Linked DNA regions of Arabidopsis thaliana. The protein of the gene in region 2 purifies or fractionates together with the protein of the main gene of each other region. This does not show direct contact. Each region holds a gene or a part of one and is shown on either strand. Other genes may lie near its edges. The genes, in order: AT4G35410, AT1G23935, HAP13 and AP19.

Region 1 (7,071 bases), on a different chromosome or scaffold from region 2:
GCATGGACAAATGGGGTATGTTCATATCGATGACGTTGCACGAACCCACATAGTCGTTTTCGAACACGAAGCAGCTCAAGGCAGATACATTTGTAGCTCTAACGTTATCAGTCTAGAGGAACTCGTTTCATTCCTATCTGCTCGTTACCCATCACTCCCTATCCCCAAGAGGTTTGACACTGACCCTTTAAACTAAACCATCTCTCAAACCTTGTAAAATTTTAAAATCATAGATCATGATGATACTCTGTTTGAAAATTTCAGGTTTGAGAAACTAAATAGGTTGCATTACGACTTTGACACCTCGAAGATACAGAGTCTCGGGCTCAAGTTCAAGTCCCTTGAAGAGATGTTCGATGACTGCATTGCCTCATTAGTCGAGCAAGGCTATTTATCTACTGTTCTTCCATAACTCTTGGACTAGAGAATATGTGCAAATAAGATTGGTCTGAAATAGTAGTCATGTGGATTCACAATGAAAGAATGGGATTGGAAAACATGAAATCAAAGATTACAAACGATATAATCTTTACTTGTTTATGAACCAAATCATAACATATTTCTTCTCTCCAAGTTACGCTTTAAGACGAAAATCCCTCCGCAAGAAAAATCAAATGGATAAAGATTTCTCAAAACAATTACTGTAGCCAGAGACAGGGAACATACTTTAACTGCATAAGAATGCATAGATGATGAATAAGACTACTTATCGATTAGTAGCCTGAGCGATTATATTACTTATCGAACTGGCCTCCTCTTTTGCAACCTCCACCAGTTGATCCTTTGACAACATAACAGACAGAGACTGTCATTTCTCAAGAAAAAACTACTACACTAATATTTTCATGTCGATGACTTAAACATACAACTCAGTACCTGAGCGGATATAATCCTGGCTACTGTTTTCTTGCTTGACTCTTGAAGCTCCCCAGCAATCAAGAGCTCATCCAATATGTAATATGCCTAAGAAAGCAACAAGAAATCCAGAAACTGTCAGCAAGATATAAAGATGCAGAGGATAGAGAATCAAGTGACGAATGGCAGAGTCCTTGAGTGTTTGCAGCATGCTATTACCTTGTGGAAGTTAAAAATCAAATCGAGTTCACACACCTGAAGGTCATCAGATAAAACAATTCCTTATCATAATTTAGAGGTTCCGTTAAGGTAAGAGATAGTAAAGGTGGAATCTCAGCAGGTGCTGGTTTTTTTGGTACTCACACTTCCAAAATAGCGATCGAGAATCTCAACATAGTGATGAATGATCTCAAGGACCTCTAACTCGTTATCCTCCTGATCAATGCACATGCAGAAGTAGAGACTTGCATATCTTTTGTAAACAACTTTGTATCCTCTCCATTCAACAAAATTGCAGAGCTTTGGACCTCGATTCAGAATCACTCCACTGAGTTCACGTATAACCTATATACATAGCATGTAAGATGAGAGATGTATGCTAAAGCATAACAAGGTGTGAATGAAGCTCAATACATACCTTAGATCTTTCCTTCTGTGCATAAGGAGAATACCATTTGGTGAGCCTTACCTTTCCTTGCCGGCTAACTAGAAGCACAAAATGTATCTGAAAACACACAAATCAAAAACACACCATTGGTTTCTTATTAGGATCATCAACTCACCAGCTTAAGAAAGAGTCCAACAAACAAAGGTTTCAAATTTGAAGCCATTGAACTGAACTAGGAGGATCGAAACTACGAAAAATCAAACCCAGAAGCTAGCATTATCAAACTAAAGTCACCAAATTTTCTATCTGCAAAGAATAATTTGAAGAGAAATATCTGAAACCACCGATCAAGAGCAGATCCAAGTATCAAACTAATGAAGAAGAAGCATAAGAACGAATCGGAGATGCGAAATTCAAATCCAGGGCAGCATTCGTAAACACAGAATCGAAGATCGAGCATTGTTACCATGATTTCGTAACTCAAGACGGGACAAATCTGTAGTAGCGAAATCCAGAAACTGATAATCGATGATCCTCAACAAGAAAAAAATTCTCTTTGCTCAAACTGTCAAACATGTCGAGTGCCAGGGGTATAATTGTCATTTACATAATTAAAAACGGATTGCATTCCGGGTCGGATCCATGCAAACGGATTGCATTCTCAGCTAATTTTGTTCCATTATTGCAATTATCTTCTTAATCTTATCGAATAGACCAGGGCATTACACATTAAACGTAGCAATTATGTCAAAAGATTTTGAATGAAAATAATTCTTCAATTAATCTTATAGAATTAGTTTCTTAGGTATCAAATTTTTTAATTGTTCTTATACTTGGTGCTGGGTCAAACAACAGAAAAGTATAAGCAATTTTTTTATAACTAAGAATGAAAATATAAAATGCAAATGTAAAGGTAAGTCCATAATCAAAATAGACATAAACAACAGTTTTGATAAGACCCAACAGAAATAACTCCTGACTAACGTGAGCAGCGACTAATGGACACAATTGTGAAGTTATGAACATACTTAATCTCTCACATAAGCTTGTTTTTATTTAACCTTGGAGGGAAGGCATATTCTCTTGCATGCAGGCTTTATTTTTATTTTCTTTGATTTTTGTTTTTCTCAAGTTTCAATGTGTTTTGAAGTTGACATCATCATAGATATTAGGGTTTTAGTTGTTCTCCCAAAATATTCTTTCCCTTCTCTGCGAGACAGTGGAAGTTCAGTTTTATCACAAATTAGAACATGTTTATATGACAATAATCGGAAGATTTAGTTAGAGCCTTAATGTGTGAACATCAATTTACGAATATAATTAAAGTCCATTTTCTCCGTATTACTCACCTAATAATTAGGGGGGAAATGTTATTTAATACCTGAACTTACAAAAAATGGCCAAATTAACCGTGAATTCGTGAAATGGCCGTTTTATCTCTCAACAAAAAGTTGACTTCTATTTTAACCTTTAAGTTTGCGTTGACTCGGTTTAATAAACCACCGTTAAAAATCCTTCTAACAGCGTAATTAACAGCCGTTACAGAACATCCGTTAAGGTGATACGATGACGTTTTGTGCTATCAACAGACTTCAAAGTCGACGAAACCTCTGAAAAATCTCCAAATCAAAACCCAAATCCTAAAAATCATTCTCTCTCAAATTCGATCTGCTTCTCCTTCCGGCGTTGTTTTAGCTGCATCTTGTGCTCCCTCTTCTCCGCCACAAGACTCAGATACCACATTCGTTTCACCCCCAACTTCTTCTCCAATTTCATCTCTTTCTCCTCGCGGTGGTGCTTCGACTCCATCTCCCACCAAATTCTCTGATTCGTGAAGCATTGGAGATCCAATCCTCATAACGACGCCATTCTTTCTAACTAATGGCATTTCAGAAAACGAATTGAAGCAATTAGGGTTTCGATTTTGATTTTGGGGGCAGGATTAGGTTTCGATTTGGGTTTAGGGTAATTGATTTTGTTTTGGGAATTTCTATTCTCGATTTTGATTTCTCTTTAGCACAAAACGTCATCGTATCACCTTAACGGATGTTCTGTAACGGCTGTTAATTACGCTGTTAGAAGAATTTTTAACGGTGGTTTATTAGCCCGAGTCAACGCAAACTTAAAAGTTAAAATAGAAGTCAACTTTTTGTTGAGAGATAAAACGGCCATTTCACGAGTTCACGGTTAATTTGGCCATTTTTTGTAAGTTTAGGTATTAAATAACATTTTTCCCTAATAATAACATTTTTCACGATTAATATGGTCGATTTGACATTTTTCTGTAAGTTTAGATATTAAATCACAAATTAATACTATTTTTTTTTTATGAAACTTACCAATTCTATTCATAAAAACAAACAGAAAAAGGAAATTTAAGCGTTCGTTTTCTTTTTTCACACACCAAGTTTTAAGAGAAACAAAAAATAAATAAATAAAACCTAATATTCGCATTTCGCAACCGCTATAGCTAGTAGCCTAGTAGTTTGAGGTCAAACACGCAAACGCAACAAAAGGTGTCACCAAAACGCTAAAACTCTAAAACGCGGGTCTAGTCGCACCGCCACCACCTCCTCCGCTACCGCCGCTCATACCGTAAATATCTCCCCCGGAGAATTGAAAATTGTTCATATTCATTCCAAGATTGTAGAAAGCAACACCTCCTCCACCATTTCCACCTTGGAGGTTTGACTCACACGCCTGGGCCCCACTCCCCGTAACCTCCGACGACTGAGACGCCTCCGGCTGCTGCTGCTGCACCCCGGTGGTTCTCGGCGGTGGGGTTTCTTCCTCTTCAATCGGTAACCTATCATAAACTGCGTTTGCAAAAGAAGCAGCCATCAACACTACCGGTCCCGAAGCAATTAACGAACCAGCCACATTCCCTCCTACAACTTGTCCTTGACCTCCGGCTAGATACACCGTCAAACCTCCTGCTCCCGGTGGTGCAGGCGGTGGAAGCGCAGTACCGGTCAAAGACAAAATGTCAAACCGACCATGCAGGGTAATCACACCTCCACCAGCCGGAGCCGCAGGTTGCCGTATCGTGACGTTAGTGACCGCACCCGTGCCGCTTATAATGCAAACGCCGCAGCCGCGACGAGTGGCGTAGGTGGAGACTGCCTCGGATATGTCCGAACCGGAGGTGACTTCAAGAACGTGTGATCTAAGGACGTTAGGACTATCTCTAGTTATAATCGTCGGAGGTTTGGGTTTGTTTTTGGAACCTGCAGGACGACCACGTGGACGACGTCCGGAGGAAGAGCCAGAGGCTGTGGCTGAGCTGGTGGCTCCACCGGTGGGAGTGGTCTCGGCCTTTGCTTCGTCTGCTTCAGATCTGTTAAGTTCCATGTTATTTTGATCAGGTGGGGTTCTGGAATCTTCAGGTCTCTGTAGATGCAGTTCTTGCCCTAGAAGAGGGTGCATATAACTAGACATTGATAACAAAAACAAGAAACTGTGGTTTGGGTTTTTGGATTTTTTTGGTTATAGCTAGTGAGAGACAAAGACAAAAGTCGACAGAAGTGGTTTGTCACTGAGAGTATTTCAGAGACTGAGTTTGATTATTAATAATGCTACGGACAAAACAAGAAGACGACAAGAGAGAACAAAACCTTACTGAATAATTAGAGAGAGAGAGGTCTACATATGTGAAAGAGCTGGGTCGGTGAAATTTGTCTGGACCCAGATCTAGATCTTCATGTGAAATGGAATGAAACAAAGGAGAGAAAGAAGTAAAGCAAGAGCATCACAAAACACAGCTCTCTTCTAAACTATAATAAGGTACATATAAATATAAATAATACAAATATATTTGTGTATCCATATAATAATATGTTGGGTTGGTGTAGTGACTTTTCCTCGAGTGAAGCAAAAAAACTAAATTAAGATGTTGACGACCTAAGAAGGGACTGATGGATTCTGCGGGAGACAAAAGAAGGATTCTGGAGAAGTAAATCACGGAGATAGAGAAGTTAAAGGAGAGGCCTTTTGTGACGGTGAAGGGATGGTTTTGTGATGGTGATATGATGATTGTAGATTTGTTTTGTTTTCTAATCTTAAAGCAAAAAAAGAAAACAAAGCGAATGTAAATTGTTATTCCAAAGTCAAGTTACGCTGTTTGATTTCAAGAACTATAACCGACCAAACTATCTGTTAGTGTTTTTTGTCGGTAAATAACATAACGATTGTCCTCTTTTTATTTATTTTTAAGTTCAAACTATTACATTTTAGTATTTTTACAAAATTAAGATCGGAAGTTTTAAAATACTAGCATTTGCTCTTACCATGAGTCTATAGATATATAAATCATGTGTGTTTAATTAACATGACAAGAACCAATTGCTGAAAAAAAACTAAAAATAGTTTTGGTCATTCAAGATCTTTTATTAAAGATCAAAACATAGGAGTAGTAGTTATTTTCCCACCTAAAACTTTGATTTTAGACAATGAACTGGAAATAATTTTGTTCTCTCCTAGTTAATCATGCTGATATATAAACTCATATGGATTACTTTCGAATATTTTCTTTTGAGTGGTGATGAAGTGATCGGACGAGTAAAGCTCAAAAAGAATTTGTGTGTGTAATGAGTAGAGGAAGACAATGAATGGGGCTTCATGGCTGTTATTTGTGAAAAGAGTGGTGGATTTCACATTTTCACATGATGAGCACTTTGCTTTCTTCCTATTTCTTTTTTAGTTTAAACTTTTAGATTTCTCGAGCCACTCAAGACATGGCTTGGCTTTTTTTATTTTATAATGTTCTAATATCAAAATTGCTAAAACTTTACAGAGGGGGCGTGTTTTATGTTACAAACAAAGTAAGCTGAATTAATTTTATGCACATGCTTGCCAATAATACTAATTCGATTTCAACGACTAATGGATGGACATGCATCTTAATATGGCTTCTTAGTTTTTGTTACTTAGCGTAAAGACACATTTCAACAGTTCTTAGGGATTTTCACGATGTATTTAATTGGTTTACATAAGAATTTAAAAATTTAACAATTATTTAAACAAAACATTTAAGTTTTTAATAGTACTATAAAAATATAAGTTTTCATATTTTTTTTCAAAAGAAAGTGTTAAAATTTTTAATTATGTATAAACCATATTAAACTTATAAAAAATTTAACACTTATAAAAAAACCTTTAAAGTTTTAATAGTAATAATAAAATATAAGTTTTAAAATATTTTTTAATAAAACAGAAACAAATGTTAAAAATTTTAAAAATGTGTAAGCCACCTAAAACACCTCTGAAAAGTTTTGATGATATATATCCAACTAGTGTAGACAACATTTTAAAATCTAGCATTTATCCAAAAATATTTTAAAACTTTAAAATTTTAAAAATTTAACACTTATTTTTACAAAATTAACACTTACACAAAATTTATTAACACTTATAAAAAAAATCCTTTAAAGTTTTAATAGTAATATAAAAGTATAAGTTTTAAAATATTTTTTATTAAAAGGAAAACAATGGTTAAAAATTTTAATAATGCGTAAACTATATTGAACCTAGAACACCTCTTAGGGGTTTGGATGATGTATCCAATTAGTTTACACAAAATTTAAAATTTTAACTTTTATCCAAAAAAACCT
Region 2 (8,019 bases):
GTAAACACAGAGAAGATCCTGAAAGAAATCTTCATCAAATAGCAAGTCCACAGCAGGTTTCTCAACACCATTTGGAAGGCTAACTGAAAACTGAGCCATTGTTGAAGCTGATGCAGGAAAATGGCCGGCCCTCCTCACATTGAAAGTAGCCTCATCCAGTACCGGCATTCTGTCAACCAGAGAAGACCTGTATGCACACATACCTCTATCATGAGCTTTGAGGGAGAGAGAATATGAAAAACTTACACTAGAAGATAGATGAGGAAGAGAGGCACAAGGGATTCCACCTGATATTTTTATGCCTGTCAACTATAGAATTGTACTCAATAGCTCTCTGCTGCATTCCAAGAAGAAGGCTTCCTTTCTGCTTCACAATTATGTCTTTAATTCTCCTGCCATTGAATTTTAGAGAACTATTTAGTTACCAAAAGAGAGTTGAGGACAGGATGTACATTTACAATAAATTTCTGATCCTTTTTCAGAGTGTAACACGCTAGAGTTTCTGGTAGACAGCCCAATTCATTGTTTATACACTTAGTGCGCATGTTTAGAATTGAAAATGGATGTTAGATGAACGAGTTAAGATAAAAACAGATAGCTCAACGAGATTAAACAAATTTGAGCATACTTTGAAATAGAAGGAAAGCCAGATAACAGCTTCACTAGAGCAACCAATTCCATCACTTTTGTAGTCGAATCTGAGTTATGGCGACTAATGGCATCCCCGGTATCGCCCACTGCATCAGATTCCTTTACCTGCTACTCATGGCAGTTAGTTAGTCATTGCATATCTTTTGAAGCCAACAATAATTCTCAAAAAGCATCTGCATATTAATCATGGAGCAAACGATGAAGTGAGATTGCCACTTTGATGCTTACCATTGTTGGATCTTCAGTACGACTTCTTTTTGGTTTAGGATCTTTAGTAAGACCTCTTTTTGCTTTAGGAATATAATCCTCTTCCTCCTCATTTTCTGAGTCTTTTTCTTCTGATTCTTCACTTTCTGCATCCTTTCTATCATTCTCATCTGCCTCCACCATGTCTACGATGATGAAATTGGTAAGGAGATGCATTGGATGGTCTGAACCTCGTATCCTCTTCCTTTTCAGATCAGATGCACCAACAGGCATGTACTGAACTTCTATGGAAACATAAGCGTATCCATAATCAGCCACCAACGTGCCATTGCTCATTTTGCAAACAGCAACCCATTCTCCATTCATTTTCTTAATCTGCTCTATTACTACGGCGTGATATCCGACGTAAACACTCATTCGTGACATGGGACCTTTGTAAATATACTTTCCTGAAGTCATCATCAGTTGACTGTAATTAAGCAAATCTGCCCCCACTATCTGCTGCTTTTGAAGCGCCTCTACAACATCCTTCCAAGTGTTGATTTTTCGAAATCCTTTAATTTTTCTTCTTTCCATATCAGGTTCATCTGCACTTGGGGGATGATAATCCGTGCAAAGGAAATTGGTGACAACATCCCTTGGAATTCCATGGCTCTGTACGTGGCATAATGCTTTTTCAATTGTACCTCCATAGCAATGATGTACACGACCATGTCTATCAACAAGTATTTTCTTTTCTCCATTTCTATCAAGTATTTCCTCTTCTCCAAGTTTTTCTGGCTCGCAAAAGGCACATAAATACCAAGGACAAAGAGGAAGTGTCTTCCTCTCCCACTTCTGTAACAATCTCTGGTAACTAACTAGATCAGAGCCTGCGTAGGCCCAGCAGAGAAGGTGAAAAAGTTGATCTCTAACCTCACCCGATCTACCCTGTTCCCCAGCCGTCTCTAGGAAACTTAAGTCCTATATATTGTAAATCAAAAACGATTTAGGTAAAATGGAGAAGATATCTGATTATTGATTAAGCTCCCATATAGGAACATATATCCGGTGTAAAAGATTTCGGTAAAATAAGAGTTTTAAAATGTTTACCGATTTTTTCATTTGCCAACCGAGCATAGCGATGTCATCATTGTCATTTAACACACATGCACCATTTTTGTTACGAGAAACTTGATGATATTTTGAATAATCCAGAATACTTTGAACTTGCTTGTCGGTTAGATCGCATATTCCTGTATCATCTAGGTTTAGCTTACAATCCTTTGAAACGGATTCAAGCGCATCAGACCTTATAGGGGCTATCGGGCATGTGCTGTCTCTGAGAAGATAAAAGAAGTAGATGAGTCCTGTGAGAAGACAAAGAGATTTCACCTAGTTGACAATAAATTGGGTTTATACGTATATGAGGTTAACAATGCCTTCCTAGCTTCTTTCCAAGAAAGTTTGACAAAGCCAGACTTTTTTCTCTTCAATAACTGTAACATGTATAGACGGTTAGATACTTAGATTTGTATAAGTAGCTTAAATCAGATTCACAGGATACCTAGATAAAAAGGGAAGAAAAGATGAAAAAGGTATGGCTATGTTTGCAACCTTTCTAATGGCCAGTATGTTATTGCAGCTCCGAAACTCAGTTTTCGTATTTTGCCTCTTTGTTTCATATCTGAACTTCATTTTCATCAGCCAATCATTATTCTTTTCGTATTTCTCAGCTTCCAAAACCTTTTTATCGTCCTTAGCTAAGGTTGTGTCTAGTTTCTTCAATCTTGCCCGAGTTATAGATCTAACACAATCCAATCTGCAACAACATTAATTCTGTATTAATGCAGGATGTTGAAGCAAAATACCGAAAACAAATTTTTATAAGAAGAAAACAGAATATCATAGTAATATAGTTCACAATACCTCAACATAAATTCTTCGTTGCAAAAATCTGTTGCTGCAGCTGGAGCCTATACATTAAACAGAAACACATAAGTTACAAGAAAGACAAAGAGACTTGGCCAAGCAACTAAATGAAGTTAGAAAACAACTAAACAAAGTTATATAACCTTAATGGCTAGGTGATGGAGCACATATAATAAGCACTCAATATATGAGATATTCATGGATTCTCTCTCCATCTTTGTATCGGGTATGCATTTCTGAGAGAAAATGACAACAGTCAATAATAGATAAGTCCATAAATATGTGAAAGATGTTAAACTAGAGAAGTGTATTAATTATGGTCCTTTAAGAGCTCACTTTTAAGAGCTCAATTATCGATGGAAGCATCTGGCCTGCTGCTTGAGCTGTTGTGTCTGACGACATTTCAGCAAGAGATTTGAGAAAATCAAGCTTCCTATGCTCTGTCAGCTAGTGAAAAAAGGATTTGGTATAGATTATGATTATAACAAAATGAGCTCACGTCTGGAGCAATAATAAAGATTTTACTAACAAAAGGACGAAGATAGCCAAGCGACAGTATTATTTACGAACAAAAAGAGTTCCATGCAAGTTGAGGGTAATTAAGAATTGACTTCGTACCCTCAACGCCATTAACTAGTACTCTACTCCTATTATGCCCACTAAGAGATCATGTACAGACAAAATTATTGTCTCAAGTACGTTAACAGAAAATAAAAAATTTAGATATGTTGTACCTTGTCAAAATGATGCAAGATATGGTGACGGTTCATGAACTCAAAATACTTGCTGCTTGGAGCACCTCTCTAATCAAAAGAAGACAGTTCGTAAGATTTATGGTTCTCAAAGCATCTTTTTAACTATTTAACATCCAAAAGTGCTATGCAACAATAAATCTGAGTCCATACCGCAAAGAATGGAACAGCCATTAGCAGGCATGATATAAACCTGTCAACATAATGTGCATCTGAAACCTACAGGGAAAATAATATTTGGTGGACATCAGAAGTAGTTCGGCGGCACAACAATGAAAGCTTCAGAAACCATGACGTTTTGAGTTCAGAAACTAATAGGTTGAGAGCGTCACATGAAATACTCACATCAAATGTATCCAAACCAGCCTTTGTTTCAAAATATTGTGCAAGTCGTTGCAAGTCTGCTTCACTTTCCTTTTGTAGACTCTGCAAACATGGAAAGAAAATCAGACGGAGAGAAATACATACGTAAAGAAACAAAGAAGAACATATGAAATCCAAACCTTTTCTAGTACATCCGATATACGTCTTTTCGTTAAATTGCTTTTGTATAATGCCAATTCAATAAAAATTGGCAGTTTATTCTTCAAATCGGGCACCTACATGAGTACATATTATTAAAATTTTCAATTTATTTAGCAGAACATTTTGTACCAAGTTAAACAGAGAGCTAGCCTAAAAATAGAGAAAATAAAACAAAACAAAAAAAGATAAAGAAAAGACTCTGACCTTGAAATTAGCAAGATGGTTCAACATTGCAGTCAAAGATGCTACACCAAGAAAGTAAGAAAGGAGACATAAGTAGATGCTATGATGCTCACCCTTTCATACAATTCAGACAATGAAGATGAATGCAGAAGAAATCAAATTACCTTCTTTATCAACATGAACCATCGCCATAAAAACCTCTTGCACGGCATCACACTCCACCGGTTTCTCTATTTTGATCATATGAGTTAAATTGTGAAAGCAGAATAAGTAAATTAAGGATAAACAACCAAAATAACCAAAGTACCAGTATTTAGATATTCGACAAGAACATCAATAATCTTAGATATAAGCTCAGGTTGATGTTTGCATATCAGCTCAATGTCGCAGATAGATATAACCTACAAACAAAAGCTACATAATCTTAGATAAATCCATTTAACAATATAAAAAAATAGACTTACGCATTGTGCTCTAAATAGGAAAAAATGATTCTAAAACAGATGGAAACAAACACAGAGAATCGCAAAGAGCACACCTCAGATTTTCCCAAGAGTTTTTTGAGCTCAAGATTGTTGAGAAGTTTGTTCATTTCCGGGTTTGACATGACTGAAAGTTGAAGTTTTTTGCTGCCGGCTTTTGTATCTTCTCCGGTGAACCGCTTTTAGCAACAGATTTTCTCACTCTCCATCTCACTTTAAATGTACCTTCGCTAGCTCTCTTTCTGTCTTTCTCACCGCCTGGAACCGAGAGCTCACCTCTTATGCCACTATTGGAAAAGAAATAATCACTCGTGCCATTCTTATGTTTAAAATAATATTATTAATTTTTATTAAAATCGAAAAATGACGAAATGACGAAAAACCCAGGCGAAACCACGAAAACTTAATTTGTTGGGCTCGGGCCCAAAGAAAAATGTAAATACTCGGCCCAGTTGTATTATTTACCCTAACTACAGAAAAAACCTAAGTAAAAACTTAATTCTTCCCCCTTTTCACTTCTCGACTTCTTCCTCTTCTCTCCGTCGTCGTCTTCTCTCGTCTCCGACGACACCACCAATTTCAGTTCGTCTTTGTCTCTTTCATATGGCTAGAGTAAAAGACTCATCTGGAGAATATGAATCAACTAGGGTTGAAGCGACCGGCGAAATTTCTACAACAGAAGAGGAAGCCGGAGAAATTCAGCCTACAACCGGCGATTGTGACGCCGCCGATTTGGGTAATTCAAACGCCGTCGCATGGGAATCAAATGACGATCTTTCAGACCCAAATGCCGATTCTTGTGCAGAAGAAGAAGAGGCAACGAATGCAGTTGTTCAACATGATGATGGAGCAAATAAGGTATGATAGAAGACCGTTATTTTTTTGATTAGGCTCGTTTTAGGATATTATGCATGCATTGGTAAATGATTGGATTTGTGAATGGTGCTTCAGATAAAACAAGTAGTACAACTAGGTCGTAAATTTGTGAATGGTCATTCAGGAACAAGTAGTACAACTAGGTAGTTAATGTGAAATTGAAAGTATTTTGAATTGAATATGCAGGATGATGGTGATGATGATAACCTGCCGCAGAATATGCAGGATGGTGATGATGATCTTCAGCCGCAGAATATGCAGGATGATGATGATGATGATGATGATGATGATAATCAACCATTGCCGCCAGAAGTTATGTACTTTGATCCAACTACCTACACGAAGGTGTGTAAGATAGGAACGAGGTGTCAGTTGGTACAAACAGTGGAATTTATAGAGACTTTGGATGCAGAACTGAAGTGGTTTAGGAATCATGACCAATTTAAGCACATATTCCACATGCCTAAGGAGCCCAATCACATGATTCAAGGCATGTGGATGCTTATGGTTCGCACGGCTAAGACAGAATTGGCGAGAGAGTGTTGGTTTGTTGTCAATGGAGTACCTATAAGGTACTCAATTAGAGAGCATGCATTGTTGACCGGTTTGAACTGCCGTGAGTACCCAAAAAACTATAAGACTTTAGGCAGTTTGAAGTTTGTTGAGAAGTTGTTTAAGAGGACTGAGGACATCAAGATTAAAGACGTGGAAGAGAAGCTGGAAGAGTTTAAGAGTGAGAAGTCTACTGCTAGGTTGAAGTTGACAATTCTGTTATTCTTAGCTAAGGTTATGAAAGCTGATTCTAAAGGGGATTCGAAGATAGAGGAGTTGCTTCTTAGGATTGTGGATAATGTCAGAGCTTGTGAGACATTCCCGTGGGGACGTTTTTCTTTTGAGCAGTGTATGGAAGGGGTGCGGAGAGTAATGAAGAACATGATAGGTGTGGTGAAACCCAAGGCACAAACTGCTTTTTATGGATTTATTACTCCACTTGAGGTAAGTAGTCGAGTAAATTATATGAGTGGCTAGATTTTGTTATTGTGAACTTGCATTTACTTTTATGTTTTTGTGTCTAGATTCTGGCATTTGAGTGCATTCCGCAGCTTGGGAAGAGATTTAGAGAAGCTGTACCTGCAGACAAGGAATGTCCAAGAATGTGCAAGCACAAGTTCAGTGAAAGTTGCATGAAGGGATTTACTTTGGAAGAAATAAATGAAGCACTTGGAGATATAACGGTTAGCTTTGTTCTCTTGAAATCTATGTTTATAATCTTTGTGGTGTTTGAAATATATGTTTACTTGACAGGATATTTCAAGCATCTTGGAACCTGATATGGATGAGAGAAAAATGTTGTCACGCGTTGTAGAGAAGCATGTTGATGATGGTATTGGATATATCGATCCGATTGTTGATAGTTGGAGAGAGAGGCTTATCGTAGAGAAAAAGAAGATTTTCTGGCGTAGTCTCTACCAAGCAGACATTGATGGTAGACGTATTGAAACTGTTGATGATGTTCCAGCTGTACCTGAACCTGAAATCCCTGGAACATCGATTCTCTCGTTCAAGGAAGCTATGGAGAGAGGATTTGACAAGCTCACGGACAAGCTTGCTGTGATGGATAGCGAAATCAAGCGGATTTGTGTGAGAGTACAAGGAATAGAGGAATATGTGGCAGATCAGCTTGAGAAAGAGGCAGAAAAAGACAAATATGAAGATATGCGTCCTGGTTCAGCTGCTGATTTTGTGCCACCGTCTTATCAGCCAAGGGATACTCAGAGCAAGGCCTTGGTTATTCACAGTGGAATCCGTGACCCAGCACCTCCAACTATTGAGTCTCTAAGTGAGTTTTTGTTGAACTTTTGTGTAGTGATGCTTTCACAATAGTTCTTAGATGTTTGGTTACATATTTTTGTAGGTGATGGCAGCGATGAGTCCGATGAAGAGGATAAGAAGAAGAAGAAGAAGAAGCAGATATCGAAGAAGAAGAGAAAGCATGTTGGTCCTACTCTGGAATCTGGGGAAAAACGTGGAAGGAAACCTTCCAAGTATAAGGGGGAAGAGTTTACAACTGAGGGGAAGCAAACGAGGAAGAGACAGAAGAAGTAGGACTTTGAAAATTCTTTCTTGCTTATGTGTGTGTGTGGACTATTAGGTGTCTGTCAAAATAGGACTTTCTTTTTGTGTATTTGAGAATGTTATGCGTAGTTTATGTGTAGAGGACAAACTTATTTTCTGAAATGGTTTATGTGTTTTAGGATTTTATTAAAATCAAAACGTTTAGCTAAGTTGTCCCGGTTGGCCGGTCAATACACAACTTAAAATACAAGAGTAGCTAAGTTGTCCCAGTTGGTCGGTCAATACACAACTTAAAATACAAGAGTAGCTAAGTTGACCCAGTTGGCCGGGACACCCAGAGACAGAGTAGCTCGTCA
Region 3 (8,555 bases), about 14 Mb from region 2:
GAAGGAGAAAGAGATGGAACAGACCTCACACATCCTGAGATACTTCATCGAGTAGCTTCTTTGTCGCTTCATTAACCTCCACGTTTTCCATCTTCAGGCGCCGTCGCATAGCAGGGTGACTCTTTCCCGCTGCTGCATATGTTCTTATCAATGGTTCAAATATTTCTGCGCCTATGTTGTCTGTTCCATTCTTTAAAATCTCCAACAAATTCTCAGCTCCATTAACATCTTTCTTTTGCTCGAAATAGCTCATCAAAGCTCTGACTGTTTCAGGTGACGGTAGCCACTTGCCACCATCTCCTTTGCCGATGGAGACTGCCTTTGACATGCATTCGAGTGCTCGAGCCATATCACCGCTCTTTACATAGTAATCCATGAAGATCTCCCATGTTTTAGCATTGAGCTTTCCACCTCTTCTGGGAGCTTTCTCCTTGAGCTCATTTGCTTTCTGGATTAGACCCTCTTGAGCATAAGCTCCAATCAACACATTCACAATCCTGATGTCATAAGTAGAACAGTTAGCTTGCCATTCCTTGAACAATGTCTCTGCACCAGGTAAATCATTCAACTTGACCAGCACTTGTATCATGTTTAGATAAGCTACATTTGAGGTTTTCGGAATAGCCAGCCTCAACGAACGCCAAATTCTGTAAACTTCAGTCAGCTTCCCCAGACGTCCATACAAAGTAATAAGAAACTGATATGCCGTAAAATCCCGTTGCGTGTTTTTCATCTCCAGTTCCTGAAGAGCCTTCTCAGCTTTCTGAGACAGTCCAGCATCAACATATATCGATGCCATATTGCTATACGTAGTCCAATCCGGAGCAACTCTACCATCTCTATTCATCTCTTCAATGACTCTCTCAACACCAGAAATATCATTAGTAGCAGCCAAAGCCCTCATCCAGACATTATAAGTGTACGAATCCGGCATCACATTCTCCGCCTTCAATTCTTGAATCATCGCCGGAACTTTCTCAGTCTCACCTGTCTTGGTGTAAAGAGTCATGAGGCTGTTATAAGACATGGAACTAGGAGTAATGTTGAGCTCTTTCATCTTATTCAGCAAACCTTCCGCTTTCTCTGTCAACAACTCCTTGCAGTAACAGTTCAAAAGAGACCCATACGTGAGTTCCGTCTTAGATGTTTCCGGAAGATCAACAAAATAATTCTCCCCAGCAGTAATTTCACGAGCTTTAGCAACAAGATCAAGATGGATTGCTTGATCACTCACTGTCTTGTTCATACCTCTCTCTTCCATAACTTCAGATAGCTACAAACCAAAAAAACAACTCCACAATATGAAATCTAAAGACACAATCATCACACAGTGAAAAAATTATTCAACAATTACTAAATTGTTCATAATGAGCATCAAAATACCACTTAAGAATCTACATTTCTATATGTATTCAACAGATTTGAAGCAAATGCTTATTGTGAAGCTAATCCTAGAGAATCGAAAATGCAATTTGGATTTATGAAACCTTGAGAGCTGGGTAATAGAGGCCGCGATTTCGGAGTTTCTTGATCGTATCGCCGACCTCCCATTTGAAGACGTGTTTAGTGCCTTTGAGGAACTGATTAAGCTGCTGTCGAACTTTGACCTCTGTACCACCATCTTTGAAGAGGCGATTGTACAGAGGTTCTTCGATGTACTTCTTTGTCGATCTCTTTGTAACGTCTCTCGATCGGCTCAAATGTCGCATCGCCATTTTCTCGTCGGAGCAGTAAACAACGACAACGAGAAGGTTTTTTGAGTAAAACCCTAATTCACTGTCACTTCCCAAGCTCGAAACAGAATTGGAGGAGAAAGTATGGTGATTATGGGCTTTTTAATGGGCCTGACGATTATTTCATTTCGGCCCATACTATATCAGTTAAACAATATGAGAAACACCAAAATATACGTTCTCTCTATTGTAAGGCTCTCTCACCTCACTCTATTGAAGCATAATTTGTTTATGTAGTTTCATTTTGATCATAACTCGAGAGAAACCTATGTAAACATAGACGAATGCCCCAAAAAACAAAACCAAAACCTCAACGTTTAACAATTTTGATCGCAGAACGAACACATAGACAGAAATGTAGCAGTCTAAAGGAAAATAATGAACCATGTCGTGAAAGGTTACAGAGAGCCTCATGTAAAATAAAATAGAATCACCATAAAGACAAATTCACAAGAATATGGCTTCTAAAACAAATTAAAGGAAAATTTGATCAGCTAAAATGTTTCAAAACGTTTTCTTTTCCCTCTACTTTTGTCCTGTTTCGTTTTGCTTCTTTGATTCAGGCAATTCCTTGAGGGATGTGGGAATCACAATTGACATAGACGATGAAACTAAATGTGCATTACACGAGTCTTAGTTCGTACTCACCAGCCATGGTTATGTATCTCACCCATGGAAGTGCTTGGTACCCACTCTTCTCAATAATCTTTAGGTACCGAACCTACACACCAAAGAACATATATATTATATATATGACATTGTGGAAGAGACAGTAACCATTTATTATTAAGCACAAGCTTACCTGAATCCCTGAAACAGTGAAATAAGGGATCTCAAATTTGACACGGATAGGAGCCTTTCGCTCAGGAGTTGCTTCCTCTGCAGTGATACTTGGAAGATGGAACTCTGCCCTTAACATGTACTCCTATATTGGTTTTCTGAAGGTTAGCATTGATACTACATAGTCTACATTGCTGACTGTTTCAACTGAATTTAAGAGTTTATTGAACCTTGTTAGTGTTATACCTTGTTCCCCGGGAAAGATTTGATTTTCCAGACTAACGCATCTTTTTCAGGAGCATAAGAGGCAGACCCTAGAGATGTCCTAACGGTGGGGTTAGATGCATCGGTTGGTACAGGCAACTCAATCTCAACGTTCGTTGCGGTGCTACAAAAAGAATGTTCGTGATCAAAGGTTTAAAGAATCTGATCAATCAGGATCTTTGCATGACAGTAAGACAGAAAAGGAAAGTGGCACAAATACCATAGAATATATTTACCTTCGTTCCTTGAACTGACTTCTAGCTTTTATGAGCATCTCAACACGACTTCTTGAATGACTTTCTATTTGTGCTTCCACCCATATAAGTGGCTTTACCTGAACATAAAAGAAACAAATCATGATATTTACTTGTTGAAGACGTGGAACAATTCCAGTAGATGCTATATCCCACATGTCAAACCTGAGTGCTGAGTCTATATGTCATCAGATCAAAAGCCCCATCAGGTGGTATGAAAGATATCGTCCTATCGTTTTCAAAACGGGCCAATCGAACACACCTGCATTAAATAAATGGTTGTTGAAGAAGAGAATACATAAAACTCAAGTATATAATCTTTTTGAACAAAAAGAAAATAGAAGGGTTAAGATCAGTGAAGACTTTCCAAGTTTCAATATAATAAAAACTTAAAGACGTACTGATGAAATTTGATGTCCTCCAAATCAATGGCTTTTCCCTTAGTTGCTCGTCCCTGCGCTTCCAGCAATACTCTATCATTCAGTCCTAACTTACACTCTGGCATTCCACTGCAATAGAATGGATCAAAGAGCAAAATAGTCAAAAAGGGACGTGATTTAACATGCTTTGGCTGATTAGGAACTATATCGTAAATTTGATGTGTTGACATACGTCAAGTAAGTTCGCATCTTCAGCGCTCCAACAACATCAGACCTGACAATTTGCCCATTACTGTTGACAAGAATATTTACATTCTCAATAACATCCAAGAAAACCTGGAAAAAGAAGCAGGTTGTCATTATTTGCAAACCGAAACATCAGAAACATATTCCTATCTTGCGAAAACAATGGCACTCACTTCATTCTTCTTGTACTGTATTCCCTCACTCCTCCAGGAGACAGCATTCGTCACAGCCATTGGAGGTCTCTGTGTAACTTCCATTCTATATGCATCAGTCTTGATGAATTCACTGAGAATTCTTGCTTCGGTATACTGAGGGTAACCAAAGTCCATCATCTCGTCAAGTAGCTCATACTGCCAGCACCAAAAAATCAATTTCAGCATCTAACAATGACAAATACTTTTCCAAAATTTTAAGGATCTTTTTGATTGCCCAAGTAATAGAAAAATATATTGCGAAATAGTACTAAAAGAGCGATGACAGAAGCTTAACATACCACTACCACAAAGTTATCCCTCAATGATTCCTCTTCTAACTCCTCGAAGTAATGCTTGAAAACCTATAACCAGATAACAGATACCATTGCCATTACATCAAATATCCAGGAAAAAGATGGAACCTTAAGAGAAAAACTAAAGAATTGACCAGCCATACTTACATCGACAACGCGGTGAAGAAAGAAGAGAAGACTGGCAGCATTACAATTCTGCCTGGATGCTATCATCAAGTATACATTACTATGTTGTACAAACATATAAGTCACCCCATTATCGTAAGCAACTGGATCATTTGACTGTGAATCACCCTGAACAATTAAACAAAACGATGATTACTCTGATTTAAACCAGAATGCTTCAAAAGTACAGATTCAAATCAAATTCTAATCCAAAACATTTAACCAATGATCAAACTTGTTCATTACTTCCAAAAAATTTCAGCGGCATCAGATCACAAAGACTGATACGAATCCATTATCTTCAAAATTCATTTCCAGTGCAGATGAAAATGGACACGAATCCATTATCTTCGAAATGTTTCAATTCCAATTGACGAATCTTTCAAACACAAATCTACAAGTTCGTTCGCTAACTCTATGTTTCTCTGAAAATTCTACAGTAACCAAGCAATAAACAAAGACCAATTAGCGATAAGAGGAAGATCAGAACAACCTCTTTCTCGATGAGCTTAGTGAAGAATCGCTCGGCTTGAGCAGCGGAGACATCGCCACGATAATCACGCCAGACGAGAACGCGTCCCTTGATATCAAGCAGAAACAGCGCGGAGGCAGCTCCTGCCATGTTCTTCCCTAAGAGTTTCGATCAGATCCAAATGGGGATGATTAATCAGCGAGATCTGATGAAATTATGGTTCTATAGAGGAAGAAGTAGCAACAACATCTAGATGGAGATTGACGCAGATCTGCAGCTCAGATTCTCCATTTCGCAATTTTTTTTTTTTTTCTGGCGATCTGATGATTTCGTTATCGATCCTTGTGGTTGGATTAAAAAAAAAAACGGAAGAATTTAAGAAAATAATAATATTCAGAAGCAAAGAGCTCTGCCTTTCACCCAGACGGTATCGTTTTACTTTTTCCGTCAAATTTAATACCATCGAAAGTAGAAGGAGAGTCAATGAAGAAAGTCATCATTGAAGAAGAAAGGCCCATTGGATCATTACATAAAGTCAGGCCCATATAGGTTGGGTTTCGTAGGTTAAAATTATTAGGTTAACGACGAATTAGTATAAAAATAGGTTTGTAATGAATCAAGGATAGAAGTAAAACCTAAAATCGAACATATGCGTTTTTCACAAAAACTTTAGGGGAATCTAGGGTTTGTGTAGTGTCACCACCATGAAATCGTGAGGACTATCAAGTATAAACTAGAAAACTGTCATGGGGTATGATCGAATGTTTGTGTACTCATTTTTCGTGGATATGAAGATATGCAACATTTGATCATTCTCCATGATAGTATTCTAGTTCGATATATAAAATTTCAATAGAACACTGCAACATGAAGTGTTTTGTATACTTAGCTTGATTGCTAGCATATTTACGTATATTACCTCCTATGTGTTGATGTTCACACGACAACACAATTTCACTGGTACCAATCATTCCAACAAATTATAACTCGGTCTCAGGGATTGTATATTTTGTTGGATTGATTGGTAACATGAAATTTTGAATTTTTGAATTTTTGATGTTACCGGTGTGAGTGTATACTTTGTTGGATTGATTAGTACGATTGCATACTTTGTTGGATTGATTGGTACACAATAAAAGCGTTTGAAAGTAATAGATTTTAAACCTTTCTAAACCATGTAGTGAACTTGAAGCTTATTCAAGCAGTTTATTACTTTCAAACTTGATATTTTGTTACATAGCTAGTTTGGCTCTTAAGTTCTCATCATAAAGATTATGGGATCTTAATGAAGACGTAATAGCCCTTATCTTTTCACATGTTTTGAGTATTTGTCAATTATATATGCGTCCTCTTGTTCTGTGACTATCTTAGTCTTTTATAAATACTATATATATATGCGTCCTCTTGTTCTGTGATTCATAGGACAATGGTAATGCAAGACTCGGAACTTAACTAATATTGTGATCGCCTTATTGATCTTCTCCCTATACCGCTATACGTAGTGAAATTAATAGTTTGTAATGTAGAATGCTAATAAGATAGAAGTGTACTTTTTGGCAAGACACTAATTATAATGACTAATTTATCAAACATAAGAGGAAAAAATCAGAGATATGTTACTTCATAGTTTACAAATGAATCATGGGCAATAAGTCTTGAACTTAACTAATATAGTGTTAGTTACGTTAAGTGATGATGAACTTGTCTTGAAGTACATCATAGTCAACATACGTATTAGAGATAGTTACATTTGGTTTACATTATTGGTTAACTTTATTGGTTTACATTATTGGTTAACTTTAACTAATAATGTAAACCAAATGTAACCATCTCTAATAATACGTACAATTCTATTTATTTTGTACGCTCAAGAAAGACCAGATCAATTAACCGCAATACAAAGATCCGATTGACTATCGCAAAAATGCATATATGACGGGAACACTACATATAGTAGAGACACAAATTCATTATGTGGATATAGACATTATGTTAAAAATTGGAGTCTTTAATCAAACACTAATAATATCGTTTACAAATTTCTAGAGAGTACAAAAAAAAAAAATCTTCTTTATCATATTTTCGCAGTATTAATCTTTGGTATATTTAGATGCAACTTCTACGGTAAGAATTCGTCAACCATTGAAGCAAAGAAGAAGAATGAGATTAAAGAAAAATGGGGTTAAAGTCAAACGTATAATATGGTCAACAAATAGAGACGACATTGACCAAAAAGATTCAAAACTTTGAAACTAGACTCTCATCTCGTTACTTCATTCATTACTTGCACTGAAAAAAATAGTATATAAAAAAGGGTTAGAATATAAAAATTAATCAAAAGTAATAAGTGCAAAATAAATTCATATATCTTAGAGTCACGCGTTTCCTCGGGTTCCCTATTGTTCATTAAAAACCTATTTGAGTCTTTTGAATATTCACTCACTCTAACACACATTCTTCATTTCTTCAATGATCACACACACATTCTTGAGTTTTCCCTCAATTAATTTTAGTAAAATTTGTTTCTAGTTTCTAGAATCCTTGGCTTTAGACTGGTTGTAACATTACAGATATAAAATGTATGAAATGTTTCGATATGAAATGTTATCAATCCGTATTTATAATACATAATTGGTATTTAAGTTACTTCGGGGTCTATACTACTATATATGATAGAGATTAATTATGAAAAAAATGAAGATGGTTCCAGAATTTATGTGCATGAAGGTTTTATTTGCAGTGTCCAAACAAAATACTTGTAGAGAAACCATATTTTAATCACCTAACTTCGACCAATATAAAACGGATTATCGTAATCATTAGTTAGGGCACTTTTTAGTTGACTACGATCGATATCTTTTGCACCACCCTTTAAAAACTATAGCACCTTTCAGTTTGTATGACTAAAACAAAAACTATTGGCATCACCACTAAATTATGTATCAAAAAATAACTTAAGAACGTATATCAAAATAAGTTGTTCCATTTAGGGTACATAATACTGTATTTCTTTCACATTAAACATATGCTTTAAATACCATGATTACATTCTTTATGCTTGAGAAAAGAAACAAAAAAGGATATTCTCTCACATTTAATAAAAGATACAATGTACACTCAATGTCACTATCTCTTCGTTACGTTCTTTTAATGTAACCAAGGAAATAAATACTAAGATACGAATTTTCGAAAAAAAAAATTCGTGGAAAAAATAACTGAACTGAATCGACATCGAACGATCGATTGTCTTGAAGTCACTGTTGACTATAAGACCAATCCCCTTCTCTGAATCACATGTTTCATTCTCTTCACATTCTCTCTCGTTCCAAACAAGTCTTACTTTAACAACAACCTAATCTTTTACTCTTTCATTCTCCATTTCCTTCATTTACATCAAAAAAAATTCTTGTTTCTCTCTTAACTTCATACGATAACTTATGGGATTTTCCGGCAAGACTTACCACCAGTTTGACAGAAAATTTAGCGAAACTACCGAAGGGAAGAAATGCGTCATCACCGGAATCTCCTTACATTCTACGGTGAAGCCGATTAGCCTCTCTTCCTCTGCCGTATCCAACACGGAAGACGAAGATCTCTGTCCAACGACTCCAACAGCGGATTCCGTTAGAATACCGACGGTAATTCCGTGTCCTCCGGCGCCTAAGAAACGGAAACTGACATTGAAGGTTAGCTACGGCCCTAGAGAGTTCTTTTCGCCACCAGATCTCGAGACCGTCTTCATATACAGAACTA
Region 4 (7,797 bases), on a different chromosome or scaffold from region 2:
GAAATATTCTTTAAGGAAACAATATGGATTTAAAATTAGGAATATAATTATCAGCTTTACATTATTTTCCAAATAATGCTTAATTTATTTATATTACTTTTTGTAAAATCGTATATTTAGTTTTACAGTTAAAACTCTCACTCAAAATAACAAATTTTAAATTAAGTTTTTGTATACATATGACATATGACACACTAAACACTAAAAATAAATTTAAAAGACTGTTCAGAATTTATTTGAAAGAACTATTTTGAAATTTTTACAAACTCTTTTTATTTTGTTGGTTTGATTAAATTATAACATTGTATACATATTTTTAATTAACCAGGAGAATTCTATGCCGAAACCTAGACTAATATTGGAATCCACATAAATCCGGGAATTTTTGCCACTAAAAACGTCTAAGGTGGACCAAATTCCGAGGTGCAAGATATGATTTTGTATATCCATTTTAGAAAATTAAGATGTCTTTAAAAAAAAAAATTGTGTTGATGATTTTACTATTGTTAAATTGAAGTAACCTCAATTTTGAGTTTTTTTTTACTGTTTTTTCAATAATACTTTCAAGAGAGAAAACAAAAGAAACAGCAAAGAGCCAAAGATGATTTGAGGTCCAAGTTTTATCATCTTTGCTGTTCTTGAGTTCACTTTTGCATTTCATTCTATCGACTTCCATTCTGCACATTACTTATGTACAAATCTCATCTATTAGTATCGTTATCCTCTATGGGCTTTCTACTCTTCATTCTAATTTACGGTTGGCATGTTAAAAATCTCCAAATTATCTTATCACCGATTTGATTAAACAGTCTATTCCTTCTCGAATATAACAGTTTAAGGGTTTTTTCTTTGTGATTGCAACACTAAAGCCCTGTGGCACACAAAGAAGGACAAAAAAGACTTTAAGAGCCAAAAGAAAAAACCAATTCAAGAAGAAAATAATTCATTACAAAACCATAATAAACATCCATTTTCTCCATCTTTTTTTTCCAGATTTAATGATGAAAACCCCCACAGAAGACAAGGTTGCAATCAGACTCTGTGACACTATTACATGACAGAGAAGAAACATATCCTTCAAGAGTCAAAGCAGCTCAGAGGAAAGCGTCCTTCTCAAGTAGTTTCACCACATCTAGCTGATTGTTTAGCCTGGCCACATCAATGGGATTTTTATTGTCCATGTTTTGCTGAGTTCTGCAAACAGAAAATGAAACGACACTTAAAAGAGTCTTATATAACCATTACTAAGTTGTTTGGAAATCGAATTTGTGTTCTTGTTGTTGCAAACTTACACTGCAGCACCATTCTCTAGGAGGAGGCTTACACACTCTTTCCTTCCATAACCAGCAGCATAGTGCAATGGTGTGTTCTTGTTTTTGTCAATCGCATTTGCATTTGCTCCAGCATCCAGAAGAACCTGAGCACATCTCACCTACATACAAACTCAACCTAGGTCAGCTGGGTTCAAACTTCGGATTAAGCTTTTATAACAACTTCTAATTGCAGATGTAATAATGGCAACTGTCAATTTCCTTTGTAAAGAATGCTACAGATAATTGTGTAATAATCTACTAAGTGAAACCGAAGCTGCTTATCCATCAAGTGCATGATGCTAGTAAATATTGGTAGTATATACTGCCTTCCATGATTCTGTGATAGTGACATTTCGACAGTTTTTTTTGTTAAGGCTTGTTGAGACGTTGACATACCTCGCCGTATCCACATGCAAAATGCAAAGCAGTCCTTCCTTCAGAGTCTTCTTCATCTTTGTTCCCACCAGATGCCAAGGCAGCTTTCAAACCCTGGTTGGTTCAGGAAATCAATGCACAGAGAGTTTATGAGCTAACCTCGATCAATGATTCCGACTTAAGTATAAAATATAGACCGTCAGAAACACGAGAGACTAACAGTGTATGAATCAGTTTACCTCGACATCACCAAGACTAGCGGTCTGGTGAACAATAGACTCTTCCTCTTCCCCTTCTTCGGCCTCTTCAGGTTCAGCTGCAACAGTCTGGTCTGCTCCAACAGCTATACCCATTGCTTCACCCAGCTTTGCCAACACATCTTTATCATTCCAGTACCTAACACCAGTAATCAACTATTAGCCATGAACACAAGTAAACCTAATAATTTATAGCAAATAATGGCATGCTTACTTCATCATAGCAGAAGGACCACCAGCATCAATCTCAGCTAGTATAGGTTTCAATTCAGGATCTTCTTTCATTTGCGCCATACGCTCTGCAAACTGCTCTGATGCTGCAGGGTTACCAAGAGCCTCCAAAAAGGGAGACATTTGTGGATCCTAAACACCAAACAGAGATTCAATGTCATGATCACACCTCAAGTATTGACTAACTAATAATAACAAGAAGATCCGAAAGAGCTTGTATTAAAGGTACCTGCACCAAAGCGTTACCAAGACGCTCAGCCATTGTTCTAAACTCAGGATTCTCCATAACCTGCTGCATTGTCTGCATATACTGTTGTGGATCAAAGTTAGGTAGACCTCCTTCATGAGATCCGGTTGGCACAGATCTCTGAAGCTGCTCAGCTAACTGGTTAAATGAAGGATCTTTAGCTATTTGCTCAGCCAATTCCTTGATACTTGGATCCTGAATAAACAAACCAATCAAACACAAGAAAAAATCCAACCTTTGACTATTCAATGATCATACACCCACAAAAGAGAACTTACATTGAGGATCCCAGCCATGCCGGAGAAATCAAAAGCATTGAAATCAAGCCCAGGATCAGTCGGTGAAGGTGAAGGTGGAGCTCCTGAGCCTGATTCTGGTTTAGTAGTACTCTTACTCTCTTCCTTGGTATCGTTTTTCTCATCTGTTGAAAACAATTTCTCTATATTACTCGAAGAAACAACAACCAAATCGATTCTAAAACTAAAATCGAGATTAACATATATACCTGAAGGAATAAGAGGTGTTTTCTCTGAGCTTGAAGCCATCGGAAAATTACTAAAACCCTAGAAAAAACCAGAAAAAAAATTACAGAGATATATTCAGAAATCGAATCAAGGAAGATCTCTCAGATTGGAATTGAAACGTGATCAGAAAAAATCCAAAAGTATGGTGAAGACGATCGATACCTATCGAAGCTTGAGGAGCTGAAGAACCAAAAATTATGAAAACCCCCAAATGAAAATGTTTTTGTGGCAAAGAAAACGGATATTCTTTCCCTCATTTTTAATTTCAATAATTAAAAAAAATTATATATGGAAAGATGAATTATTATCATTACTATAAATTATTGGATTGGTAAGAACAAGACGCAGTCACGTTTAAGTTTGGGTATACAAGTTTCGAGTCCTTGAGCCCAAGCCCATAAGTGTCTGTTTCTTCTCCACTATTTTTGGTGTTACCATCAAACATTCTTCATGTATTTGAAATCCTATAGATTATTTTGGTGAAACAAGTACTAAGGAGCAAACAGGGCAAAGTGAGAAAAGGGACATTGGCGTTGCTTTTGTGAGGAGAAAGGATAACTCTTCGAGCGGATACCTCCTCTCATGGCGGATCACGGTTACACAAAATGAGGTTAGGTCGCCCGAATTACAAAATTAGGCACGTTGAAGAAGAAAGAACGAGACACTGGCATGTTGTTTGGTGCATCAGTCCTCAGGCTCAAAAACCAATTCTATTCAATCAATCGGACAAATTATAATTTCGAGATGATGAACTTGATGAAATTTCAGCATTCCACGTTTTAAAACGTAACATATGTGAAAAAATAGTATACCATTTATGATTTCGCAGATCAATCACTACTTTTAAACCCAAAACGATGAATGCTTCTTTCTTCTAATCAATCAAACAATCACATGACATGACAAACAAAAGTGTGATTCAGAAGAGAATATCTCAGAGTTTAAGGAAAATATTAACTCATTTACGATTGTTTCAGCTGCATAAGAAAAGTTCAGAAAAGGACTACTTGGTAGCCTGAGCAATTATATTACTTATGGAACTCGCCTCCTCTTTCGCAACTTCCACCAATTGATCCTTCAAATATTATAACACAACATCATTTACACAACCCTTACGGACTAATCGTTTTTGTCTCAGTGGGCATTAGGATTAAGAAACCATACCTGGGCTGATATTATCCTTGCAACTGTTTTCTTGCTTGACTCTTGAAGTTCTCCGGCGATCAACAGCTCATCGAGTATATAATACGCCTAGAACAAAACAACCAGATTCGAAAATTGTCATATTGAAGTAAAATACAGAGAGTAGAGAATCATTGATAGAGTTGAGTATGTATACCTTGTGGAAGTTAAAAATCAAATCGAGTTCACACACCTGAAGATCATAGAATAAACAGCTCTTAATCAAAATCTAGATGTTTTGTAAGGTTATGATAGAGTGGTAGGAGTATATTTTGGATAAGCGTTTACTCACACTGCCAAAGTAGCGGTCAAGAATCTCGACGTAGTGATGAATTATCTCCAGTACCTCTAACTCGTTATCCGCCTCATCAATGCACATGCAGAAGTACAAGCTTGCATATCTGCAAAATTACAAAACCATCATGTTTATAACCATTGTTTTTAAAGTAGCAAATACATGCTACTTATATAAAATATGTCTATTACCTTTTGTAGACAACCTTGTATCCTCTCCATTCAATAAAATTGCAGAGCTTGGGACCTCGGTTCAGAATCACTCCACTGAGTTCACGTATGACCTGTCCAGATCATTTTTCCAAATGTAAGATTAAATAGGCATGCAAAGCATAATGCGGCATTAACTCAATAACACTTAAGCTGTACATACCTTAGATCTTTCCTTCTGCGTATACGGCGAATACCACTTGGTGAGCCTTACTTTCCCTTGTCGACTGACTAGTAACACGAAATGTATCTGAAAATACAAACATAACCCAAAACAGCCACCTTAGAAGTTTTTTTTTTTCTTTTCAAGAAAGCATTATTCTATCATTGTGAATGGCAATACATAACACATTAATTAGTTTTTGACGTCTCCTCACCCATATCAAGCATGAGAAAATTCTAGAATCACAAAGACAGCATCGAGATAAAGAGAATTAAAACAAGACCAGACAAAACCAGTAGTATATATCACGATTTCTGGCAACTCATAAAGATTTGAAATGCACATAATTGCATAAGGCAAGCAAAAGAGGGAATTGTGAGAGATCAAGTACCAGAACTTGAGAATCATTTACCATCATACACCTAAACGCAAGCCACAAGCATCTCAAGAAAAGTTTTTAAACCATTTAAAGATATGGAAAGATGGAGAGATCAACGAGCTTATTTTGCCAATTCAGAAACAGAGGCAAATAAAGAGATGTGAGGTACATGAACTAGCTTAGACCCTATTACATTTGAATCCAAGAAGCTTAATTACTTCAAGAGCAATAGTGGTTCAAAAACAATGAATTGGATTTAATAACTCACAAGAGATTCGAATGGGCAACAGAAACATAACAATTTCAAGCTTCACGAAACAAACTAATCCTTTCACTTCCTAAATAATCGATCAATTCGTAAGCGAGAAAAGAACCGGACAGATCCAAGCAGAAATCTACGGATACCGGAGGATTAGATTCAATTTCATCATCAAATCAAATCGTAGATACTCGATGCAATAGTACAAGATCGAAGGCAGATCCAAAATTCGAACAGATAACAGAGAAGCCCAAAAGCAAAGGGAGTGGCGATTGTTACCATTTTTAGCCGATTGAAGGAAAATCTTTAACAGTGAAGCTCGATTCCCAGAAGAGATCTCCAGAAGCTGATGATCGTGGAAAGTATTCTTCTGTGTCCGATACACATATAAGTTTGTTGGATACGGATCTTGTCCCGGGTCGGAGTTTTTTTTTTTTGAGGGACCCGGGTCGGACTCTTTAAAAATTTACTTTTTATTTATTTTTCTTCAGTTGGTTTTGTATTTACTGGGGTAGTGTTTTAAATCTGGACCGTTAAACAAACAAGATGAGGACTGATCTGACGGTCCGACTTAATCGGATTGCATTTTTACAGATTAAAAATTGCAACAAAATCACAACTTTTTATTAAAAGGTTTAGGCAATTTTTCAAAATGAGATATTATTGTTGTAAAAGTTAGAACAAAGGAGGAAACAAAATATCAACAATTGATGTGCAACCTGAAAATATTGAGAGTAAATTATAACTTGTATGAGCCTCAGCGTCACTATGCATGCATAATAATTTACATTTTTACGTCTATATAAATGATCAAATTTGTCGTAACATAAAATTCATTACTTCAATTGTAAGAGAAGTAATCAGAAATCAATAATAATAAAACTCTTACTCTCTTTGGTTTAAAATCAATAATGATTGTTGGTTTAGCTCTCTGCACAGTCTCTACTGCTTACTTTCTAAGATATCATCAAAGACCCATACACACACATGCCATGAGGAGAGACTTCATTGCCTCAAATGCTTCATTTGTCAAACTACCATATCACTCCTCCATCGTCTGCAATATTCACAACTACATTTCTACATTTATTAGTAGTACCTAACTCTGTCACGTACATAATCATCACAAAGCAAACACTGCCACAATAATCTATTCAATGTTAGAAAAAAAAATCATGGCTTTAAAGCTTAAACCGCAATTTAATTACACATTTTGATGCTAAGCTATGATATTAATATAAGCCATAAAGATGGAAGGACAAAAGACTTTACATAAATTAAGAAAATTTGGAGACTTAGTACAAAATAGATAGAAAAGAAAAGAGATCGATGAAGAAGAAATCAAATGAAGTTAGAATTACATCAAATCTAATTATGGGTTTTTGTTGTTTTATTATTATCCGTCTCATCGTGCTCCAAACATCACCTGTTGACTTGAGACGAAGGGCCAATGTCTCTGCTGGATCTGTTGTATTTCATGTGACTCTTCACAAGCTGTCCAGCTGCAATAGCAGACATTAGTGAAAGCTCTCCTGCAAGAACCGAACCAGCCACTATTCTTGCCAATTGCTGTGCGTTCGAGCCAGGTTTCTCGTTGTTTGATCCTTTCACACCGAGTAGATTCAAACAAGCTGCTTGTGATGCAAGTTGTGTCCCACCTCCAACAGTACCAACCTGGAGTCACATCAATAAACAAAACATTCATGAGTTGGATCCAACAATAATTCAAAAAACTAACGGCTTTGTGTTCTCTGCAATAATGGGTTTAATTTCAAGATAGAACATGCATTATACCTCAATGCAAGGCATTGAAACAGAGATGTGAAGGTCGTCACCATCGGGAAGAATCATGGTCATACAGTGTGAGCTCTCCACGTTTTGAGCTGGGTCTTGGCCAGTGGCGATGAACACAGCGCTGACAATATTGCTTGAATGAGCATTGAACCCACCAAGAGAACCCGCCATGGCTGAACCAACAAGATTCTTGAGCGTGTTAAGCTCTACAAGAGCCTCAACGCTAGTCTTCAACACTTTCTCCACAATCTCAGCCTTAATAAAAGCTTCACATACAACATGCTTACCACGTCCTTCGATCCAGTTTACAGCCGAAGCCTTCTTGTCCGAACAGTAGTTCCCTGAACACCATAACACCAAATTAATCAAAAAGAGTTCAACTTTATTTCGAAAATCGAGACAACACCAAAGAGGGAAAGAAGAGTTTACCAGAGATGCCAATAACATCCATGTCAGGAAACTCGCTCTTTACAAAGTCCAAGACATTCTGAACACCTTTTGAGACCATGTTCATCCCCATAGCATCACCAGTACTACACGCAAACCTCGGATACAGATTCCTCCCAGCA

The links.
Region 1: the proteins of AT1G23935 (region 2) and AT4G35410 fractionate together in Arabidopsis thaliana (co-fractionation; one large-scale study listed by BioGRID). This does not show direct contact.
Region 3: the proteins of AT1G23935 (region 2) and HAP13 fractionate together in Arabidopsis thaliana (co-fractionation; one large-scale study listed by BioGRID). This does not show direct contact.
Region 4: the proteins of AT1G23935 (region 2) and AP19 fractionate together in Arabidopsis thaliana (co-fractionation; one large-scale study listed by BioGRID). This does not show direct contact.

The regions. Positions count from the first base shown.
Region 1 is NC_003075.7:16,827,432-16,834,502, reverse strand, and holds AT4G35410 (Clathrin adaptor complex small chain family protein), read right to left. Parts: upstream 2,165-7,071; 5' UTR 1,932-2,164; coding exon 1,929-1,931; intron 1,580-1,928; coding exon 1,493-1,579; intron 1,420-1,492; coding exon 1,219-1,419; coding exon of another isoform or gene 1,189-1,218; intron 1,111-1,188; coding exon 1,075-1,110; intron 964-1,074; coding exon 877-963; intron 782-876; coding exon 707-781; 3' UTR 501-706; downstream 1-500. Other genes in the region: DRL1 (dihydroflavonol 4-reductase-like1), read left to right, coding at 1-171, 265-412; AGF1 (AT-hook protein of GA feedback 1), read right to left, coding at 4,001-4,900. UniProt on the Arabidopsis thaliana protein: Subunit of clathrin-associated adaptor protein complex 1 that plays a role in protein sorting at the trans-Golgi network and early endosomes (TGN/EE).
Region 2 is NC_003070.9:8,458,756-8,466,774, reverse strand, and holds the start of AT1G23935 (apoptosis inhibitory protein), read right to left. Parts: upstream 5,019-8,019; 5' UTR 4,837-5,018; coding exon 4,768-4,836; intron 4,631-4,767; coding exon 4,537-4,630; intron 4,460-4,536; coding exon 4,394-4,459; intron 4,292-4,393; coding exon 4,251-4,291; intron 4,121-4,250; coding exon 4,025-4,120; intron 3,948-4,024; coding exon 3,867-3,947; intron 3,741-3,866; coding exon 3,675-3,740; intron 3,573-3,674; coding exon 3,504-3,572; intron 3,217-3,503; coding exon 3,106-3,216; intron 3,006-3,105; coding exon 2,913-3,005; intron 2,814-2,912; coding exon 2,767-2,813; intron 2,660-2,766; coding exon 2,455-2,659; intron 2,337-2,454; coding exon 2,260-2,336; intron 2,233-2,259; coding exon of another isoform or gene 2,180-2,232; coding exon 1,951-2,179; intron 1,822-1,950; coding exon 880-1,821; intron 760-879; coding exon of another isoform or gene 757-759; coding exon 629-756; intron 393-628; coding exon 288-392; intron 188-287; coding exon 1-187.
Region 3 is NC_003070.9:22,366,934-22,375,488, forward strand, and holds HAP13 (Clathrin adaptor complexes medium subunit family protein), read right to left. Parts: upstream 5,291-8,555; 5' UTR 4,953-5,290; coding exon 4,824-4,952; intron 4,460-4,823; coding exon 4,313-4,459; intron 4,214-4,312; coding exon 4,151-4,213; intron 4,008-4,150; coding exon 3,831-4,007; intron 3,748-3,830; coding exon 3,644-3,747; intron 3,541-3,643; coding exon 3,433-3,540; intron 3,294-3,432; coding exon 3,197-3,293; intron 3,112-3,196; coding exon 3,014-3,111; intron 2,902-3,013; coding exon 2,760-2,901; intron 2,659-2,759; coding exon 2,536-2,658; intron 2,455-2,535; coding exon 2,356-2,454; 3' UTR 2,020-2,355; downstream 1-2,019. Other genes in the region: AT1G60770 (Tetratricopeptide repeat (TPR)-like superfamily protein), read right to left, coding at 26-1,273, 1,488-1,715; AT1G60783 (cyclin-dependent kinase inhibitor SMR2-like protein), read left to right, coding at 8,240-8,555. UniProt on the Arabidopsis thaliana protein: Subunit of clathrin-associated adaptor protein complex 1 that plays a role in protein sorting at the trans-Golgi network and early endosomes (TGN/EE).
Region 4 is NC_003071.7:7,551,041-7,558,837, reverse strand, and holds AP19 (associated protein 19), read right to left. Parts: upstream 5,847-7,797; 5' UTR 5,717-5,846; coding exon 5,714-5,716; intron 4,884-5,713; coding exon 4,797-4,883; intron 4,708-4,796; coding exon 4,616-4,707; intron 4,531-4,615; coding exon 4,422-4,530; intron 4,323-4,421; coding exon 4,287-4,322; intron 4,199-4,286; coding exon 4,112-4,198; intron 4,023-4,111; coding exon 3,951-4,022; 3' UTR 3,675-3,950; downstream 1-3,674. Other genes in the region: AKR2B (ankyrin repeat-containing 2B), read right to left, coding at 1,095-1,194, 1,293-1,432, 1,710-1,802, 1,928-2,084, 2,160-2,308, 2,406-2,618, 2,702-2,844, 2,929-2,968; HMG2 (3-hydroxy-3-methylglutaryl-CoA reductase 2), read right to left, coding at 6,857-7,108, 7,229-7,569, 7,658-7,797. UniProt on the Arabidopsis thaliana protein: Subunit of clathrin-associated adaptor protein complex 1 that plays a role in protein sorting at the trans-Golgi network and early endosomes (TGN/EE).